Linked DNA regions of Oreochromis niloticus. The protein of the gene in region 1 interacts with the protein of each later gene in a biochemical or structural test. Links are inferred from orthologs where the notes say so. Each region holds a gene or a part of one and is shown on either strand. Other genes may lie near its edges. The genes, in order: ccnb1 and zc3hc1.

The links.
Region 2: of the proteins of ccnb1 (region 1) and zc3hc1, one has a biochemical effect on the other in vitro, tested with the Homo sapiens proteins (3 studies listed by BioGRID, with this or other methods). The link is inferred for Oreochromis niloticus from reciprocal best matches to the Homo sapiens genes CCNB1 and ZC3HC1.

What each region holds. Positions count from the first base shown.
Region 1 is NC_031972.2:31,327,250-31,337,125, forward strand, and holds ccnb1 (G2/mitotic-specific cyclin-B1), read right to left. Parts: upstream 4,768-9,876; 5' UTR 4,630-4,767; coding exon 4,609-4,629; intron 4,364-4,608; coding exon 4,235-4,363; intron 3,288-4,234; coding exon 2,988-3,287; intron 2,903-2,987; coding exon 2,744-2,902; intron 2,637-2,743; coding exon 2,400-2,636; intron 2,313-2,399; coding exon 2,172-2,312; intron 1,601-2,171; coding exon 1,490-1,600; intron 1,406-1,489; coding exon 1,301-1,405; 3' UTR 748-1,300; downstream 1-747. UniProt on the Homo sapiens protein: Essential for the control of the cell cycle at the G2/M (mitosis) transition.
Region 2 is NC_031981.2:10,958,082-10,968,706, reverse strand, and holds zc3hc1 (zinc finger C3HC-type protein 1), read right to left. Parts: upstream 4,454-10,625; 5' UTR 4,394-4,453; coding exon 4,260-4,393; intron 4,222-4,259; exon of another isoform or gene 4,133-4,221; coding exon of another isoform or gene 4,095-4,132; intron 3,735-4,094; coding exon 3,632-3,734; intron 3,514-3,631; coding exon 3,363-3,513; intron 3,224-3,362; coding exon 3,140-3,223; intron 3,022-3,139; coding exon 2,894-3,021; intron 2,718-2,893; coding exon 2,578-2,717; intron 2,462-2,577; coding exon 2,191-2,461; intron 2,018-2,190; coding exon 1,820-2,017; intron 1,570-1,819; coding exon 1,357-1,569; intron 1,242-1,356; coding exon 1,167-1,241; 3' UTR 454-1,166; downstream 1-453. Other genes in the region: klhdc10 (kelch domain-containing protein 10), read left to right, coding at 7,452-7,542, 10,387-10,608. UniProt on the Homo sapiens protein: Required for proper positioning of a substantial amount of TPR at the nuclear basket (NB) through interaction with TPR.

The DNA.
Region 1 (9,876 bases):
AACCATCACTAAATTAAAGCTGGTTCTCTCTAGGACTTAGAAGTTATCCCTTTGGCACCTCCTGGAAAGACTATTCTAACTATAGGTTTGTGCAGTTCTGCTCTTGACTGTAGATGGTTTGAGAGAGTTGCTAGCTGTGAACCCAGATTTAGAATTTTGCCTTTCGTCAAAAGCGCAACAACCACACTCTGGACTGGTCTCTCATCCATTTGCATCCGCTTATCCTTTTGTGGATGGCAGGGGGCACTGGAGCCTATCCCAGGTGTCTTAGGGCTTATCACTCAAAGTCCCTGTTTTAGCCTCCAGTCTGAGGGCAGCCCTGAAATATTAGCGCTTGGCCCTAAAGCAAAAAATAAAGTCCTAGATGCGCTATCAGAAAGTGACCTAATGTGAACGGAAAGTCCTCAAAGATTTGCCTTAAGTTTCCCTGAAGTACAGAGTTTAACTGATATCCTCAAATTCCCCAATCAGATGACACCTTTCTTTTGAAAGACAAAAGCCATCATGAAGAGACATCTTCACATCAAGAGATTAAGTTTTTTTATTCAGCCGTTTTGATACAAGCTGTACTGCCCTGGGCTCATCAAGTAAATATTAACATTGCTCTAACTGAAGCACAGCGGGGCAAAGTCAACATTTCTCAACGTGGGCACTGTGACAACTTCAGTTGCCTTAATGCACTTCAGCTTTAAAATGCTTGTCTCACAGCAGCCTCTAGTGGAGATCACAAGGAACAAGGCAAGCAGCTTTCTGGTCAAAGCCATTTAATAAATCCTTTAAGAACAAAATAGTAAGAACGCAAAAACTGATTTAAAAAGTATTGCTGTACATTTTACACACCAACACATCCACTGAAGAAATTTTTAAAAAGTGACATTTCACATTGCTGACCATTTAAGTCATACCACAAGTTTTAGATTAAACACCTGAGCAGCAGTTTAGAGATGTGCATTAGACTTAAAGTTGTGTAAGGTCATAGAGGTCTTCAGGCCTAGTACGATTAGTGCATGAGTACTTGTGAATAAGTGGGGAAAAAACCAAAAACAAAAAACTGTTGCCTTGCACTAGTCTGAACATAGCCCAGCTGTCAATCTTATAAGACAGAACTCCCATTTTGTTGCTCAGGTCAAACTTAACTTGTGGCATGCTTTGGGCAGGCTGTAAAAATACACACCCTCAGTCTTTAAAAAGAAAAAAATAGTAAACTAGTGACATCCTTGGTGTGCGGATCCTTGGTCAGGTTAAAAAGTTAAATTACATCTGTACAAATCAGCACATGGTGCCAAGGACATCTGTCATCTCACTGTGTGACCTGCTTTGCCAGGTCCTTAACCACTGACGATTTGAGCTGCGAGATGTTGGCAATCCTCATCTGCTTTGAGGTGGAGTATTTTCCTTTGATGGCCTGCAGAGACAGTGAGGTTAGGTCTTGTCAAGTTCAACATTAGTTTAAATTTGAAGACTTATCCTGATTGGATGAGAAGCTTACCATGTGCTTGGTCAGCCCATTATTCACTTTGACGACGTTCTTGGCGATGTGTGCCATAACAGGAATCAAACTCTCTGCTGTGTAGTCCATGTAGTGCTGCAGCGTCACATCCTGGAAAGACAATTTAAATGCATCTGTTTAGGATTTGCTAATCAAGATGTGCATGAGTCACATAATATACAAGTTAATTTACTGATCTAGATGTACAAACAACTCCTTTACATAAAGCAAAGCCTTTTGATATTTAAACTTATCCAAGGAGTCCTTTTTACAAATATGAAAGTTTCTCATGACCGTTCCATAAAACCCATTGTTGCAATTTTGCAACCATAACCTGCACAAGTTTATTCTTGCAATCATGTCAGACACTTGTGTAGGTTCTGCATAGATTCAGCTCAGAAGTCTAAAGTCAGGGATAAGCAAAGGCCAGACAAGCTTTGTTGCACCCATATCATTTAATTTGCCAGGAAGTGCAATAAGTTAACAATGCCACTTCAGCTTTATGCCAACTATTTGTTGCACTCAATTATGGATTACACTCTTGACATTGTTTCATAGGTCTGTTCTTAAAAGAGAACGACTTGAATACTTCAGACCTAGTTGTCGTTTTAGCAAGGGCACCAAGTACACTTTTTTTCTCCCCCAGACACCAAAACCTTCGAGACCCTTCAGATGCACTTACCCATTCTCCAGCATCCAATATTTTGAGGGTGAGTGCCAAAGCGGCACTTGCCACCATTGAAGGTGGTAAATGGACCATCTCGTAGTCAACCATTGTGAGCTCCAGGAGATACTTGGCCAGAGTGTGCTGCTCGGCAGTTACCTGTGAAGAGATGCACGAGAAGTTGATGCACGAACACTTAAACTGTAACCCATCAGCACTTCCTGTGACACCAGATATGCTGCAAACCTCATAAATTTTGGAGGCCCTTCTGAGGAACTGCAGGGGGAGAGGACGACCCAGTTGGAACTTCAGCACCCGCAGAATGGTCATCTCCATATCTCTGATTTGGGCTGTGGTGTAGGCCCTGTCTGTGACGTAGGCGAAGTCTGAGATCTCTGGGGGATACATCTCCTCATACTTTGAAGCAAGGAACATGGCAGTCACTCCAACAAGCTGCAGCTGTTTCTTGGGGACTGGATGGTCCTGTTGGGAGGTATAGTCACCATTAGTGAGATGAAAACCATGAAAGGTGGAACGGTGTAGTGGAGGACTAACAGCATTTATAAGTAGAAGAACCAGGATTCACTCACCTGAAGAAAGCGGTCAATGATGCCCACGGTCATGTACATAGTCTCCTGCAGCAGACGAAACTTCAGATTTACTTGCACGAGCCAGTCAATGAGAATGGCCCTCATGTTGCCTGTCACTTCCTGACCCTGCAGATAGTTTGGTCTGACATTCTGTTCAACCTGAGTAGACAAAAAATGGTTAGTGCTCTTTGGGGAAAGTAGCCCAAGATTCCCACTTTAAATTCCTTTATTTTAAGTTGCTTGCCTCAAGCTGGCGGAGATATTTGTAGATGTCCTTCACATATTCACTGCAGAGCATGGGGTTGTCATAGTCATCTGCGTCGACGTCCCTGATAGCAGTGTGCAGAATGACATCTGAAAACGCTTGGCATAGGTCTGCAGGCTCGCAGCCAGAGGTCTCCATTGGTGTGGGAGATGCCGGCTCGGGTGGGGCCTGCACCTCTGGCTCAGGTTTAACAGAAATGACATCTTTTGGCTTGATCTGTTCAGCCTTTTCAGCTCTGGTTGTAACTTTGGTCTTCTTGAGGGCTTCAGTCTTTACAGTCTAAGGGAAAGCACGTTAAAGCCAGAAATGTCAGTAGTCTGAAAAGGCTAAATAATCTTAATATAGAACCAATTCAGTGGTACTTTCAAATAGAGATCGGTTCCCAGCATGATTGGGCCTCATTTAAACAATCTAGCAATTATGCAATTTCATTTTAAGCTGTGGTTCCTCTTCCGTCTAGAGCTTTGAGTTTTGCCAGACAAATTACAACCAAAACCCACTGAGTGTTTTTCCCAGCACGCTCTTAATTGGAAGACTCACAGCAGGAAGCATGCTAACAAACTCCTGCAGGCATGTTATGCTGCTATTTTAATGTAGCCCAAAAGAGGGCGACATGCAAGTGTGAGTTCTCTTGTTATCAATGCCCCCATTTAAGCAGCAGTCCTGCAGCCATCTGAAGTGCTCCCTAAGGTTAAAATAAAGTTTTAAGACAATCACTTAGGCCCTCTGAATTTTAGTCTAAACAGCACTTAGTTATGCACCACGTTAAGTCAGTTTAAGTCAATCATCTGAGCACATTGTACTCTCAGGGGTTTTCCTGTTCTGTTTGAGATTAAGTATATTTTTAAATTAGAGAATCTAAGCAGGAAAATGTGTAGGCTTCTTTTAGAGCAAGAGGCTAAATGCTGACTAATAACTGGTTCCATGTGTAGTCAAGGCCCAGTGTGCCAGGGGAAAAACAAGTTTAAAAGAACACTTTCATACCCTAACAGGAAGTTGTTTCTGAAGAAACTTGTAAACCAGTTTTATTTTGTCCACCTTAGCCACCGATTTGACTCAATTCAGCATTTTGTGCCCGTTGTTTCAAGTGTGGCCCCACTCGGGCCATTTTAACCATTTGGACATCAGAGCTGGAAGTCACTGTGCCCATATGATTTCACTGCAAAATCCCACCATTTTCCATAGATTTAACAGAAAAACATTTAATTTCAGGATCAAATACTTACCTTTTTCTGTGTGTCTTTGTTAACTGCGATGTTACCAATTTCCCCCAGGGCTGCTCGTGGCTTCTGCGTGGGCCCAGACACAGAACAGGCCTTCCCACCGAGGTCGACCTTGGTGGAAGCCAAGCGATTCTGCAGGAAAAAGAGAAAAAAGAAAATCCACAATGATTATAGTAGTTTGCACGCTTTTATCTTTTAGTTAAGCGGAAACCCTTATTATCGACCTGCTCCATGATAAGAAATCCCAAAGCGACAAACGAAAGCTACGTTTTTGTTTTGGTTTTTTTTAAGCAAAAGACTTAAAGAAAGCGCTTCTAAATGTTTCCCCAGATGCAACGATTAAATAAAAGCAACAAATAGAGATGAAAAAGTCTAACCCGGGTCACTCTCAGAGCCATTTCGAAACAAGCGATGCTTCAACAAACAGGCGAAGAGTCGTAATGGAGAACGGTATGGTATAGATACAAGGAACAGCGAGCGAGGTTTAAATCCTCGCTCGCTGATAGCTGATTCGCTGACCTAAGACTCTCCTTGGCGTCTGATTGGTCGAACGCACCTGTTTGAAATGCGTTCCCCGGACAACTTATGGTCACGTGATTTGATTTCTTGATGTTCATTTCCTTTTCCTGTTACGTCCTGCTTTTTCTCTTTTTCTTTTTTTCTCTGCATTTCAAGTAAATAAATTAATAAGAAGTCACTTTAGGAGGGAGAGGAAATCAAATCTAAAAGTGTATTTTATCGTTATACTTTAAATTCTATTGCCTCAAATTCGTTCAGAACACAATTTCTTTCATTTTGAGTATGATAGACCTTCTTTAACATGATATTTTTGATAGCTCTTTTATTTCATTTAGTGTAATAAAAGTCAATTTCTACCATACAAAGTTGCCTTAGTACATGAGACATCTAAGAGTAAAAATGCCTTCTTGAACGATAGAGGCTGGTTTTGCTTTTATTTTTCTGTTATAGCTTCTAAAAGTCTACATTTCAGATGGAATTTCTCACACAACTCACAATATAACAGTTTACTTTTGTCATCCATTAAATAAGCTACAGTATTTATCGCTTTAGATCTCCGTGTATCTTTAAATGCCTTTGTTCACCAAGTAAAACATATCCACTTAGCAAAAAGTAGATACACTCTGCTTTTTCACTTGGATACATAAATGTAAAGTTGACTCTTATCTCCTTGGCAATAAGTAGATGCATTCTACAACCCAAATTACAAAATATCAAAATAAATAAATGTGTAAAATATAAATAACAACAGAATGCAATAAGATGCACATCATATATATCCATATTATATTTACACCAGAACACAGGAAACATAAACGTACCATTTTACCAAAAAATAAGGTTCTTTTGAATTTGATGGGAGGAACACTTTTCAAAAAAAAAGTTGGGACAACAAAAGCTGAGACACCAAAAGGCTGGAAAAACAGCTAGTGTAAGATTTTATGTTAATAAAAAAAAAGTTAGTTGTCAACAGGTTAGTAACATGACAGGGTACGAAAAGAGCATTTTAGAGAAGTAGAATTTCAAAGAAGTAAAGATGGGCACAGGTTCACTAATGTGCAGCAAACTGCATTTACAAATTGTGGAGCACTTTCAGATTAAAGTTACTCGTTGTGAAATTGTGAAGGTCATCATCTACAGTGCATACTATAATATTATGAAAAAGCTCAGAGACTCTACAGACTCATGTCTGTGGCACTGGACAAGGCTGTGAATCAATACTGAATAGATGTGATCTTTGGGCCCTCAAGCAGCACCACATTAAAAACAGGCATGATTCTGTCATGGGAATCATTGCATGAGTTCATGAACACTTCCAGAAATCAATGTCTGTAAACACAGTTCACTGTGTCATCCACAAATTCAGGTTCAAGCCCTATCATGAAAGAAGGGTACAAGTCATCCATATCATGGCAGTCTCAAGTGCTTGAAAAGAAGGCGACTGGGCTTCTTATTGGTCATCCAAGAGGTTTCTTCAGTTCTAAAACAAGTGACGTAGAGTCCCAGTGGTTTGATCCAGGATGGTTTTTGTTCTCTTGGAGGTCGTCCTTGTGGTTGTTGCCACGATATCAGTCATGTGAGTTTTCCTACTGTGAAAAAAGGCCTGGACCATTACCATCACTGGTGCCAAGGTGTGAAACTCTGTAAAACATTGTCCCAGTATGCTGTCCTGTGAGCTACTGAGGTCATTTGAGGCAAGGTGCCAGTTGAAAACATTAGACCCATTATGAAAAAGTACAATAAAGACCCAGGGCTCTTGAGCAGCTGGAATCACAATGAGACCTCACCAAAAGTCCAGTAACCTTATATGTACTTTGCACTTTACTCAAGAAAGAGTGGCAGTGATGGGAAGGCTGCTCCAGTGACGTACTGTGTAGTTTTTCTCACACGCTGGAGAGCCTTCCTGTCCTGAACAGTGCAGCCTCCACACCACACTGTAACTGAGGCAGCGATGATGCTCTTAGCTCTACATGTATAAAAGTTTCTGGTTGACATGCCAAATTTCCAACAGTCGTCTAAGAATTTTTCAGAAGGTGCTCAGTGTTTTGAGACCAAGTAAGAGAGGAATTTAAAGGGTTTTACTCTCTATATCTCTGCCTCAGTGATGTAATCATTTCTTTGGTCTTATCTACATCTAGAGAATTATTATTTCTTGACACCACACCGCCAGTCCTGACACTTCTATGTATGGCTGGGCCATATTATACCGTTCACGGTAATACCTGTATAATGTTAGGCAATGATAAGAAAAGGAAATATCCCGTTTGAATATGGGTAAACGCGCATGCGCAGTGCCTCTGTTTTCATAAGCACATGTTTTGGTAGAGCATGCAAGCGGGCCGTCGTTATTACCGTTATTACCGATATTACCGAACCGATTTTAGGTGGTACACGGCGGTCAAAAATCTGTCAAAAAATGTTTTAGTACGACTTTCGTAAACTATGAAGCCGCACTGCTTGATGGATTGTCGGAGCATTACGGCTACCGTAGTCGGGATCCTCGCAGAGTAATATGTACTGTGCTTCAACATAATATTACCGCATTGTGTGTGTATAACCTCTTTTTAAGTTTTGTGGTTATTAAACATGGTATTGCTCAGGATATGTTGGCCAGTTTCCCCTGGAAATGCCCTTTGGTTAAACTGTCAGCAAGGAATTTGCATTTGCACTGTTACATTTTATATAGCTTCAATGCACATAAAAAACAGCTGCTTGTTTAAGTGAAAATACATTGATGGGGTTTTTTTTGCACTAATAAAGTTGTGGAGTTGTAAAGTAATTTGTCTTGCGTCAATTATATCGTCAGTTATATCGTTATCGCAAATTTTCAAATATATATCGTGATAAATATTTTTGGCCATATTGCCCTGCCCTACTTCTATGTCGCTGCCTCTCCATCAGCGAACAACCCAATGAGCACTTGGAGAGACTCCCAGAGCTAAGTGAGTGAGGAGAGTTGGATTGTTTGGATGCTCATTTCCCTGGATCCCTGGAGCCCCTGTTTTCCTCCCATCACTACCTTTATGTATCAACCTGGTGTTTCTGCTGTAAATAAATGCACTAAACTTGACTCATGAATGCTGTAATTGAGTCAACTCTGCCCAGTGTTTTTGATCACTAACAAGACATTCACAGGTTTTACAAGAATGTACAAGACGTACACTGTAGAACCTTTAGAGTCACTTATTAAAATATTTAGTAAGTATATTTGATCTTGTGTGTGTGAATGTTTGTGTGAATGGGTGGATGACTGGATGTGTAAAGCGCTTTGGGGTCCTTAGGGACTAGTAAGGCACTATACAAATACAGGCCATTTACCATTTACCATTTGTGTGAATTTAAATCTAAAATAAATTCAGACTTGTGAACCCAGTTTTTGTTTTTAAACAAAAAGAGTTACACTGTAAAATTATAAAAAGTTCAAATAAGTCATTAAAAGCACACAATTACCTTGACATTCATGTTCATAATTTGTGTATTTAAACTTCTGACAAAAACTGCTACATGTTCCTCAGTGTGTGAGGGTGTCATCAGTGTACCGGTTCTGTCTGTCTGTATGTATATTAGGAAGAGTCCAAAGTGGTCCTTTTAATGCTGGTCAAGACCAGTGTTTACCACTTTTAAAAAGAAATCACTACAGCAGCACCTGTGGAAGTTTGGATGTGTCATGTTTTGTACTGTTTTGTTTTTGTCTGCTCTCATTACTTTTAGTGCTGTGTTGATGTTTTGAAATCTGTTTTCCTACATAGATGTTTGCTTATGTGGGGTAAGGGTATGTTTGTAGAAACCAGGACTGCTCTGTCCTGAAATCTTTAGTGGCTCTTCGCCAACAACCCTGCCCTCCAATCAGAAGATCACAATTTCCATGACGTGTACCGGAAGGCAGGGAGGACGCAAACGTAACACGTAAAACTAAACAGATGCCACTACCTCTCCTAGACTGAAGACGTCAGCGGGAGCAACTAACATCACTCCCAGGCGGAGAGAGGACCGAAAAGAAAAGGGCACAAGCGACGATTAAACCTAGACGGCCCTAGTTAGTCAGCTACAAGAGAAATTCAGGTGTTTTTGTTAGCCGAAAAAACAGCGTTTCTGTGGCACAAAAAGGTAAGCCAACACCGAGTAGTTAAACCGCAGTCTGCTGGTTAGTAACTTAGTTGTTTCGGGAAGTGTCTCAGCCTAGGACTAATTGTAGCTACAAACCATTTAAAAAGCACATTTTCCAAAACGAGTAACGTCGACGTTGGTGTAAAATTGGCTTACTTAATTAGTGAGGATTAAAGAGTGACTGTCTGGCTGCTTAACACGTGTCCTTAAAAAGTTTTCCAACGGCAAGACTACACGTTAAATAGGTTTAAGAGGCTGTATAGCTGCTAAACCTGACATTAACCTTACAGCTATTTAAAAACCGATCCGTCTCCTTTCTAAAAATCTCCTTTTTCCAACTTAAAGCTATCCGCAGCTCTGAATTTTCCTAGTTTGTGTCTAATTAGCATCGATATTTTAACAGTTATTTTTAGCGTGTATTTTGTCCCTTTGTTTCTCTTATTTAAGAGTCGTAGAGACTTCTGTTTATAACATTTTTGGTGCTTCAAAACAAACAACAAAAGCGAACAAAGCAAACTAGTCGTGCTAAGCTTGCTAGCTGCAGGCAGCCTTTAGCATGCTAACGGGGAGATCGGGAGAGTCGTACTTAGCAAGGAGTCTGTTTTTAGTATTTCTAAGTAACCCTTTTAACCGCAGCTTCACCTTGAAAAATACCCACAGTGTTACCAAGCACCACGATGAATAATTATTTGTTTAATTTTTGGTTTTAAAAAGGGGTTTAAAACGCCAGCAGCGTGCATTAGCTTGCTAGCATGACTCAGTGGATTTGTAGAAGTAAAACGGCGGTGTGGCCCTGTTTGTGTGCTTTGAAGTAGTTGAAGATGAAGGATATTTGCTCACCTGACTGAGCCCTTGGGGGATATATAAATGCATGTTTAGCTCCGGGATTAAGGCAGAAGTAGGGCTGAGGAGTGACTCGCCTTTTGTCTGGGTGATAAACGTACTCACAGGTGTTGTGATGAATTTTTATGGTTACCCCTGTGTTTAAATTCCTCCACCTGCATGTTCCAGCAAAGTGT
Region 2 (10,625 bases), on another chromosome or scaffold:
GGCAAGAGCTGACAGTCCATTTCAAGAACAGTGATTGTTTTTGGGGAGAGGGGGGCATCAGTCTTGTGATTCATTTCCGTTAACTGACCAAGTTCCCCCATTGTTATGCGAAGCTGAAATATACCTAATATCTTATTTATAGAATACAAACAAGACTTAATCTAGGGAAAGAATAAAGAAAATGGTCATGGCTAAAAATACCACTTCTATAAGGCCACAATACCTATCTATCTATCTATCTATACATAAATACATGCATGCACATAAACACACTTCAGCAAATAAAAATTAAAATAAACGTAAAAAAAACATTCCAAAAAAATCTTTGTGAAGCAGAGCCATCCGACACATTTGTACTGTATGCATTTTTCTTGGATTTACAATATAATTTCATTAATTTTTTGACTGGCCTTATCTTAAAAATCTCAGAAGAACGACATGCAAAGTAAAACAAACATTCAGAAGAGCAATTTATTAAACCCTTTTAGGAGCGTCTACAAAGACAAAGGTACATGCAAGAGAGTGAGAACTGCATCGGTAACGAAATATCACAGAAAATCAAGAATTTCAAACCGGGTAGCACGGATGAGAAAAAACAAAACATCACTACTCCAAAAAGATTCTGCTCTCTTCGAGGAGCTATTGTATCCATCTGGTGTTTAAGCAAAACAATACACACATAGGTACTTCCTCACAGTCTTTTTTTTTTTTTTCCCTAATCTGAGGTTAATGTTTACTGCTCTTGCAAAGAACTCAAAATACGGTAAAGGTAAACATCATCTTTCCAGTGTAGAGCCATGTGGCCCTTTCTCATGATCTTCTATATTCCACAAAAATCCAGACCATCATGTTGTCATCAAGGACTACCAAAGCAGACATTGTGGTCATGTAAATCTTGTGTAGCCGAACTGAAATGTTTTTTAAAAAGCCACAGCATTCATTCACATTTTTTACTGTTTACTGAGAACACATTCATTTGTCTAATGACACAATGAACCTTATTTGTCCTTGACAAACACTGAACAGAAACAAGACCTCAATTGATGGCTTACATTTAATAACACTTGATACTCCTGTCATTAGTAATATGGATTCTGTACCACAAACAAGAGTGGAGGTCAGTTCATCACTTCAGTGTTGCAATGCTGTTTTTGTTTGCAAAGAGTCTACTGAGATGGCGAAGAGGAAACCTGCCACTGTCGGAATATAGCAAACACCCTTTTAGATTTGTCACGGGGGCCCTGGAATAAAAAACAAACAAACAAAGCAAAAATCTGTAAATCTGTATAAATCTATCATTTACATGTTTGATGACTCTTTTCTATGAAATACAAAGATTTGAACTTTTTGTCTTGCCTGTGCTGGACTGCCTTCGTCTATACTGGAGTTCTTCTTCATGGGCATGAGGAGGTCCAGAGCAGCTTTCCAGCCCTGCTGATAAAGTCCTGAACCTTTGTCTGAAAAAGGGATAGCCCCAGGATCCACATTCTCCTTTCCTACGGAGATCCAGGGACACCATTCCCTGTGCTGAGCTAAGGGGTCAAATACATTCTTGGGCAAGGGCCCATCCTGAAATAAGAGATAGTAGGTCAACATTTGTATTATACACCTCTGCCTTAAAAAAAAAGGGAATGTTTGTCTTTCATGTTTTTAATTTAACAAAATTTCTAACTGTAATGTAAACCAAACAAAATACTCAAATTACTCTTGAAACACTGGCTGAATAACCAGGCAGGACTGTACGGATTCCCTCAGATAAAGTCTGATGCCATAATTAAAAAAACAAAACAAAAAAATCCTTAGTAATGTTAGTTCTTACAAGACCACCAGTTGATGAGAGGCACAGGCGCTTTGGAGGCAGGCTAGTAGTGCCGTCAGTCCCTGGGCCATCTCCCTGTCCTCTACTGCGAGTTGCGGGCCTCTTGCCCCTCGTCAAAGGGCTTGGCAGTTCTTCGCTGGGGCTAGGTGAGTCTCTGCTCCGGGCACGCAAGGCCACTGGGGAGGAGGTACCCTCTCCCTGTAACATACACCAAGACAGCATAGAAGCAGCTTAGTATATTCTGAAGTTTACATTCACTTGTTCTAATTGAAAGGATTAATAAGCTTGCATCATAGCTTGTGCACAGCGTGGTTTAGTGTTTTTCCAGCTAGTGGCACAACTCGGGAAATCCGCCTGGTCCTCCTCCTCACCTGGTCAGAGCGGGTGGAGTCCTGGCTCCGCAGCTTCATGCGACAAGGAGTTGTAGCAGGGCTCGGTGAGGTGGAAGTCGAATGCTCTCCCTGACCATCATTTGGGGTTGCTGAAGCAGGACTCGTTGCCCGAACAGGGGTGCCCAGTGTATTTGTTGAATTGTCCGCTTCACCTCCCATTCCTTCCATCTGATGGAAATTCCACAAGCCCACCTTGCGCATACAGTAGGAGCAGGTGAGGATCGGCAGGCTCATGGCGTGCAGAGCAGGACTAAAAAGGAGGAAAAACACTTTTTTTGTCCCATGTTTCTAAATTTTCACCCAACTTTTAATGTCAGCATATGACAACACTGATTTCTATGAAAGGAGTTTCGAGTTACATCTCACCTTGCTGCCCAACCGCAGAGAGAAACAATACATGCTGCCATCTGGATAGCCAAAGGCTCAGAGCAAGGAGTTTCTCCCTTTCTTTTTTGTTCTTCCTCAATCACCTGCAGCATACTGCTGATAACGTCCTCTGTCAAAGACTGCAAGGAAAGAGTGGCCAATAAGTATAGGTGAACGAGTGACTCAGACAACTCTTTCTATAATCTCAATAATGCATTCTTTTAAGTGTATTCTCTAATGTAAATAATATGTATAATGCTTCAAACAGCACTGGAGTCAGTATCCTAAAAAGGCTGAAGCCATTCTGCAGCTTCACCATAGACTTCAGCTGCTCCGGTTTCATTGCTGGCAGCTGCTGTGTAAGGAGACAGGCGCTCTGGAAGCGCTCCAAAAAGGCAGCAAGAAGTGTCGATGGTTCACAGGCTGGAACAAGCCAGAAGCGCTCTGAAATAAAAGGAACATTTACCATGATCATTACATGGAGAAAAATGAAAATTAAAGTTTATTCAAGTCAAATTACTTTTGCTGATATATACGTTTCATGCAAAATGCTTGCTCCCACCTGGACATGGAAAGTCAGGCCAAGGACAAAACTTTTCATGCTGTGTCTGAAGCTGCCTTGATATCTCTGCAATGCGGCTTTCATCTGTTTAAAAGAGGAGATGTGCTTCAATTTAAAAAAATTTTTTGGCAGCCTGACAATATCAACCTAACCTTGCCAAAAAAAACAAAAACAGTTTGTCCTCTAGTGTTGTTATTGTGCAGTTGCTTTAAGTTTCACTTACATTTTTCAAAGTCTAAAGTTGGCTGCAAGGATGCACATAGGAAAGCCTGGCAGCTGGAGCACTTGAGCATATCACAGCCAACACTGATCCAGCCATATCTGGCACACATCAACGGGGAAAGTATGCGTGGTTTGCCTGCCCATTTCAAACAGTGTGGTGCTAAGGGAAATTTCAACTTACATACAGCAAGGACATGTAATAATAACAATATAAAAACAAGAACTAAGATGGCTCATACGGATTCAAAATGAGGGGGAAAAAAAGGATATTGAATAGGATTCCACTCTTGAGAAAAAGGCTTCTTTGTTCGTTGCTTCGCAAGGTGCTTGAGAGCTGCTTTCCACTTCCAGGACATTCAAATCCCCTTGTACACTTAAATCATCAAAAAGGGGAAAACACATCTTCAGTATGCACACTTTTATTTACGTGATTGATAAAACAAATATAACTGGTTAAAGCTATGCGTACTTCACCTTATATGTTTCCTATTTTCATTTTATAATCTCACAATACTGAAAAGAATCGATTCGTTTAACCTAATGATGGAAGCAAAACAGCAAACTTGCAAAGTAGGGAGTTACTACCAAACTTTAGGTCCCCACCCCCTCTTATCTCTAACTGTACAGTGGCGACAATTCAGATGCTACCATAACAAACTTGCCCGATGAATACAACAATGAGAGCAAAGAAAACACAAAGGCGTGCCAGTTCATACTGCTGTTCCTAGCTTACACGCATCCAAACCTGCGGAATCTCGTTCGTCTTCTCATTATGCTGACTGAATGAAGCTAAAAGTACAGCTACCAAGCTAAGTAGCTAGGCAAACTAGCTAGCGTCAACTTGTTCTCCGTCTTTTTAAATTGAACAATGAGCGCTCTCTGATTAAAAAAATCGCACCTGTTGGAACCCACGCCTGTTGACGACACCCCCTCATTGAGAATTTCACGAACTTTTTCCGGGGAAACAATAGCAGACTTGTGTTGATTAGAATTGCCGAGACGATCCCCACGACTACCGCCGAGAGTCGCCATGATCGGCTCTGTGGTCCCACGGAAAATACACCCTGAAACCGACAGTTCCGCTTCGTGATGCTGCGAGACCACAGCGCTGCAACAACATCACTTCTTCACCGTGAACATAGCTTAAATTTCGAAAGCGTAATTCCGTAAGGCTAAGCTCATAGATTGACTGTTATTAGTGTTAAAATGAAAGGAATTATTTATTTAGTATTTAATTAAAAAATGTGATTTAAAATCTACTTTTTTGTGTGTTTTTAAATGTAGGTCCAACATTTTATTTGACTTTTTAAATTTGTTTCCATGTATTTGATTATGGATCGTTTGTTAAATATTGTTATCCAGATGCAATAAACTGCAATAAATATGCTTACAAAATTACCCCTTCTGAATTTATTGTTTTGGGCAATATTACACTATAAGATTAGTAATCCATTAATATCTTCTGCTGTAGTTTGAAGTGGAGGCTTCTTAAGACTCCATCTGATGCGGTGTAGTTTGTTGTAGAACAAAGAGCTATATAAAGGAATTTCAAATAAGTAATAGGTCTCACACAAATGTAATGGAAACATGAATATTTTCAACTATAAGGTATGCTATATAGACAAAAACAAAGTCTCTTTGAAGAAATTCTTATTTGGTGGAGTTTTGTTTTTTGTTTTTTGTTTTTTTTGCAACACATCCCACTATATACTGTTGTTAGCTCAATTCTTAGAATATTGCATCACCAGATTGTAGGAAAATGTATCTCTGTTCAAGCCAGCACAGATGTACTTTACGATCTGCAGGCATTTGAGTAAGAATGATGCGTTCTGAGGGCCCAGCATTGTCCCATTATATTTTCATCAAGGAATTTTGGATAAAAGCAGAAACATTTTTGTCCCATCTTGCTTATCTGACCATATTTTTAACATTAGGGAAGAAAATACTGCAGACATTAGTGATTGAAATTATTAACTGAAAGTATTAAATGAAATTTTACATACATGCCATCGCCTACATCACCTGCTCACTGATTTTCAACTCTCCTCCTAATCTAGTTTCCACATCTCCCACTCTGTCTTCATGGTGTGTGTCATCAACTTTCTAAACTCTGTTTTTACTACAGCTCTGCACATCACCTTTGTTCTTGAAAATCATTACCACTCAACTTATTCTCCATTCCTTAGGCATGTTCTCCAAAACTGTATTAAACAATCTGATCAAAAGCCCTCTGTCTTAAACATCTCCAGGTATGTCTTTAATAGCTGCCCCCACTTCTTACTACTCATCCTCTGCACTTCCTGATTCACTAACTGTATTCTCTCCAACTGAAAGCACATGAATAGAAAACAAAGTAAGACCTAAAACTGAACCTTGTGGTGCACCACAGGTGATGTGATCCCTAGATGATGAATAGCTACCCATGGTGACAGTTTTTTTAATGGTTTGTTTGTTTCTCCCCCCAAACATGAGAATGCCACTTCATGTTCTAAATGATAATCTGTCTCCACTCTCAGTTGTTAAAAGAAGGTAGAAAAGTGGATACTGGACTACCTCACAGAACGTCCACAGTATGTGAGGTCACAGGGCCGTGTCTCTGATACACTGGTCTGCAGTACGGGGGCCCCACAGGGAACTGTGCTGGCACCGTTCCTCTTCACCCTCTACACTGCATACTTCTCCATCAACTCCCCACGCTGCCACCTGCAGAAGTTCTCTGACGACTCTGCCATAGTTGGCCTCATCACAGGTGAGGACGACTCAGAGTACAGACAGTGGACTCTGGACTTTGTAGACTGGTGTCAGCAGAACCACCTGCTGATCAATGCCGGGAAAACCAAGGAGTTGGTGGTGAATTTCCGGAGAAGCAGACCCACCACACTGACACCGGTGAACATCCAGGGAGTGGACATTGAGATAGTGGACTCTTATAGGTACCTGGGTGTTCACCTGAATAATAAACTGGACTGGAGCCACAACACTGATGCTCTTTACAGGAAGGGTCAGAGCAGACTCTACCTGCTGAGGCGGCTGAGGTCATTTGGAGTACAGGGAGCGCTTTTAAAGACCTTCTATGACTCTGTGGTGGCATCTGTCATTTTTTACAGTGTGGTATGTTGGAGCAGCAGTTTATCGGCAGCTGAGAGGAAGAGTTTGGATAAACTCATCAGGAAGGCCAGCTCTGTTCTGGGATGCACCCTGGACCCAGTGCAGATGGTGGGAGACAGAAGGACTCTGGCCAAAATAACATCTCTGATGGACAGAGTCTCCTACCCCATGCATGTAAATGTTGCTGAACTGCAGAGCTCCTTCAGTGACAGACTGCTGCATCCTAGATGCATGAAGGAGCGTTTCCGCAGGTCCTTCCTCCCTGCAGCTGTCAGACTGTACAATCAGAACTGCTCCCAACAATCACAGATGTTTACATCTGCGCTGTAACTGCAATAAGTTAATCAACCGATTCGCACTACAACCTGGGTTTGCCTCTTATCTGTAGTTATTTATATTTAATTTAATAACTGTACAGTACTCTGTTTATAGTAACCATTGTCCTTAATGTAAATATGTAAGAAAAAATGTGTATGTTTCTGTTCTGTGTCCTGTGTACTGTTTGTTTGTATATGTGTCTTTCTGGCTGCTGTTACAACCAAATTTCCCCTTGTGGGACAATTAAAGGATTCTTCTATTCTTCTATTCTATTCTAATTGATAACCTTGACTAGGTCTGCACAGTGCAAGCAATAACAATAATATTTTTTTCATTATTTTTATTATTTAATATACAGTGGCCCCGGGGCATGCATGCATGCATATATATATAGCCTGGGAACGCCTTTTTGGCCATCCACACTCCAAGTAAAACTGTTGTGTTGTGGATACGTACCGGCAACCGCCGCCCCGCCCACCTCTAATGACGCAACGTCCTAATAACGAGTCCAGTGATTGGCCAAGTCCAATACACAGTGGGGGGAGGTAACGTTTGTGGATGTCTTCCAAACTGACTGAAACGTAAAATGATTCTACGGCTCTTATCAGATGTTGTTTTTATTTGACGTAACATTCTCCGCGATTGGATTGTAAAGGGGGAGACGATGTCGGACGCCGAATGTGCTCACAGTCCAGACCAGCTGAATAAATTCCAGAAATTGACAGGCAGGCCGCCGCACGGTGTGACGTTAGCAGGTCGGTCAAAAACATTAGCAAGATATGCTAACGACGTTACGCTTTACCTGGACGTTATCATGTCTGTACAGTCAGACTGAGTCTGTGTCATTTACATCAGCTGCTTTTTACTTTGAGTCAGGAATTTTAAACTTTGCCTTTACTCGTGCTATTTTAAAGCATTACATTCAGGCTAGCAACATCCCGCAATTCTGTTTGATTATCTTTTGATGTGTTGGGTGCGATCCTATCCAAGCTAACAGGAGAAAATAGCACATAATACTTTTGCATAGAGCTTTATCGGCTGTAGTGTGCTACAGTAAATGGTCTAATAGTGGCTGGATTGGATTTCATGGATTTAAGGTTTTATTTATAACAATTTGAAGGTTTAAGCTTTGTGTGTATCTGTGGTTTATGCTGCGGTTTGATAAAATACTTGATGGTTTAAGCGGATCACAGAGCCATGTCCACTAACAAGTTTCAAGCTCTCATTAGGTATGTTCCCAGTCATGGAGAGATTTGTTACATCTCTATTTTCCAGAAACGTATAGACAGGATATCTTCAGTATAACCTCTGCTGGCCAAAAAACAAAAAAATAAAACCCAAACATGTCTGAGATGATCTACTGTGTGTATACAATTTTCAAAGAATAGACTGCTCTTTGGTTGCTAGTTATTTCCTCTTATGCCTGTGGTAGATCCTACGTTGAGATCCTGTATACTTTTGTGTTTTACAGATACAAGCTGGTCAGGAAAGGGAAATTCTGCAGTACAAAGACCAAAACTGGTCACTCTAACAGATGCTGACATAGATCTACAGAGAAATATGATCTTGATGACTGATAATTCATTATAGACAGTTGTATAAAATACTCATGTTGTAGTTTTATTGCTCATATGAAGTTTTACAAGACAGTAGAAGCAAATAGGTGCCATAGTGTGCCTGAGTATTGATGAAACTACAATGGGTAGAAGATGGACTACAAAACGCACATCCTCCTTCGCCACAACATGTTCTGACCCTGTTGGTTTATGGAGGTCTTTTAAAAGAGAACAGTCTGTGAAAAATTCATTGTAGGCTTAAAAAGAAGAAAAATCTAGGGCCAGGTGTACTAACGTCTACAGCAGCACAAAGCCTTCTTTTGACATTAAAAAGCTGCTGGATTTACAAAAGAGACTAAGTGTCAGTATGTGAACAGGAGGGTTTTTTTTGAGGCTGGTATTATGCCAAATGTATTTGTATTTTCACTTTCAGGAGGAGAATATTTAAATGAGTCACACCAGTGTAAATTACAAAGTCTTCGTAACACAATTTACTGCAAATTGCACAAACTTTAATGCTGGGGGGGGGGGGAGTTGTGTTTGGGAAAAAAAAATTGTGTGCGTGTTTAGAGGCAAACCCCAATTGTTGAATCTGTAACCAATAAAAGGTTTGGTGAGTTAAATTAATGCTTAAATGTTGCAATGTGCTATTAAAACTAAAAGGCGAAGTGCACATTCACACACATGGGATAGTAACATAGCAACTGAGATGGCTCATCATCTGACTGTAAATAATGTTTTGTGGTCTTCTGCACACCGTACAGGTCAGCTGTTCCACACAGATTTCAGGTTTATAGGGTGGGACAGTTTTTAATAATGCAGTTCTCCTCTCGATCAATCTTGCGCTGCACCTGAGTCCTAATCATTAGAACCCTTTGCACAGTGCTGAGAAATAACTCTTCTATCAGATCAGCATATTCATTTTCATTCAGCTTCGTCTCATTTATCATGATTGCCTTGCTGTTTTCAGAGAAAAACACTTCCATGAAACCTGAGCTTAAACTGGATTATTTTAGTTAGCAGGTATGCAGCGCTCTGCCTAACGCTCCTTCCTCTGGATTTTTGGGGCCACTAATTTGCATTCTTTCTACAAATTTTTTATTTTTTTTTACTGAGGTGAACTGGCTGCATCTTTGTATATAAATTACAGCACATTGTTAGTAAATTACCCTGTAACTGCGGCTTCACAGTAATTTGCCTCACTTAGTATATCTATCCAATAGCACATAAGAAATTAAATGTAAGAAAATAGGGGGTTTTTTTTCTCTTCTGTGTAACTCCTTTCCTCCTCTCGGTTAAGGATTTCTGCGACTGCATTAAAATTCCCTCCATCAATCATGTATCCCAGCTGACCTGAAGTAAAAATTATTTATGATAATCCTAAAGACTGCAATACAGTAAAGGAAATTAGTAATGAATGCTGATTGTACTGAACCTTAAGCACATTCTTATCAGTTAACATAGATCATAATCTTGAGCTTATATAGCGTTCTTGGTCTAATGCCTTTATGTTTCTTCCCAATTTCCAGTAAATGTCCTACAACGACTCTTGTAATGCAGAATTTCTCATAGTTATCAATATGAAAGTTGACATGTTATGTGTATAACCGGTAGAGCATTAGTCAGGTTGGATCTATAACTAGTCTCAAGTTCTAAAAAGCGTTTGACTTTTTAGATGCATATGCAGGTGACACTCTAACGCTTTAATTGATTTAATTGTGATATGTGATATGACCACGGCATATCACTATTATTACAAGTACTTTTATTACTTTTGGATAATGTTTTTTATATAGCTTTACAATGTCACATTTTATTTTTTTCTGTCAGTTTTTAAAAAGAATGTTTGTTTTATCTGGTTAAGCAGTGTCAAAGTTCAAATCATGCATAAAATTAAGAGCAGCATTTAGCTCAAGTAGTAGCTTTTTGCACGTAGAAGGAAATGATAATGGTTTGAGCAAAGTGGAGAAGAGACAATCTTTGTCAGGATGGTCCTCCTCGTCCTCATTTTTAGGATTTGTTTGGTTTTTTTTCTATTTCCAGGGCATCGAACACCACCTGCCCGCAGTGGGCACCGCTGCGTCGCTGACAACACTAACCTGTATGTGTTTGGTGGGTACAACCCCGACTACGATGAGTCAGGAGGCTCAGAGAATGAAGACTATCCACTTTTCAGGGAGCTATGGAGGTATCATTTTGCAACAGGCTGCTGGCAGCAGATCCGGACAGAGGGCTACATGCCCACAGAGCTGGCATCAATGTCAGGTGAAGCATTGTGTATT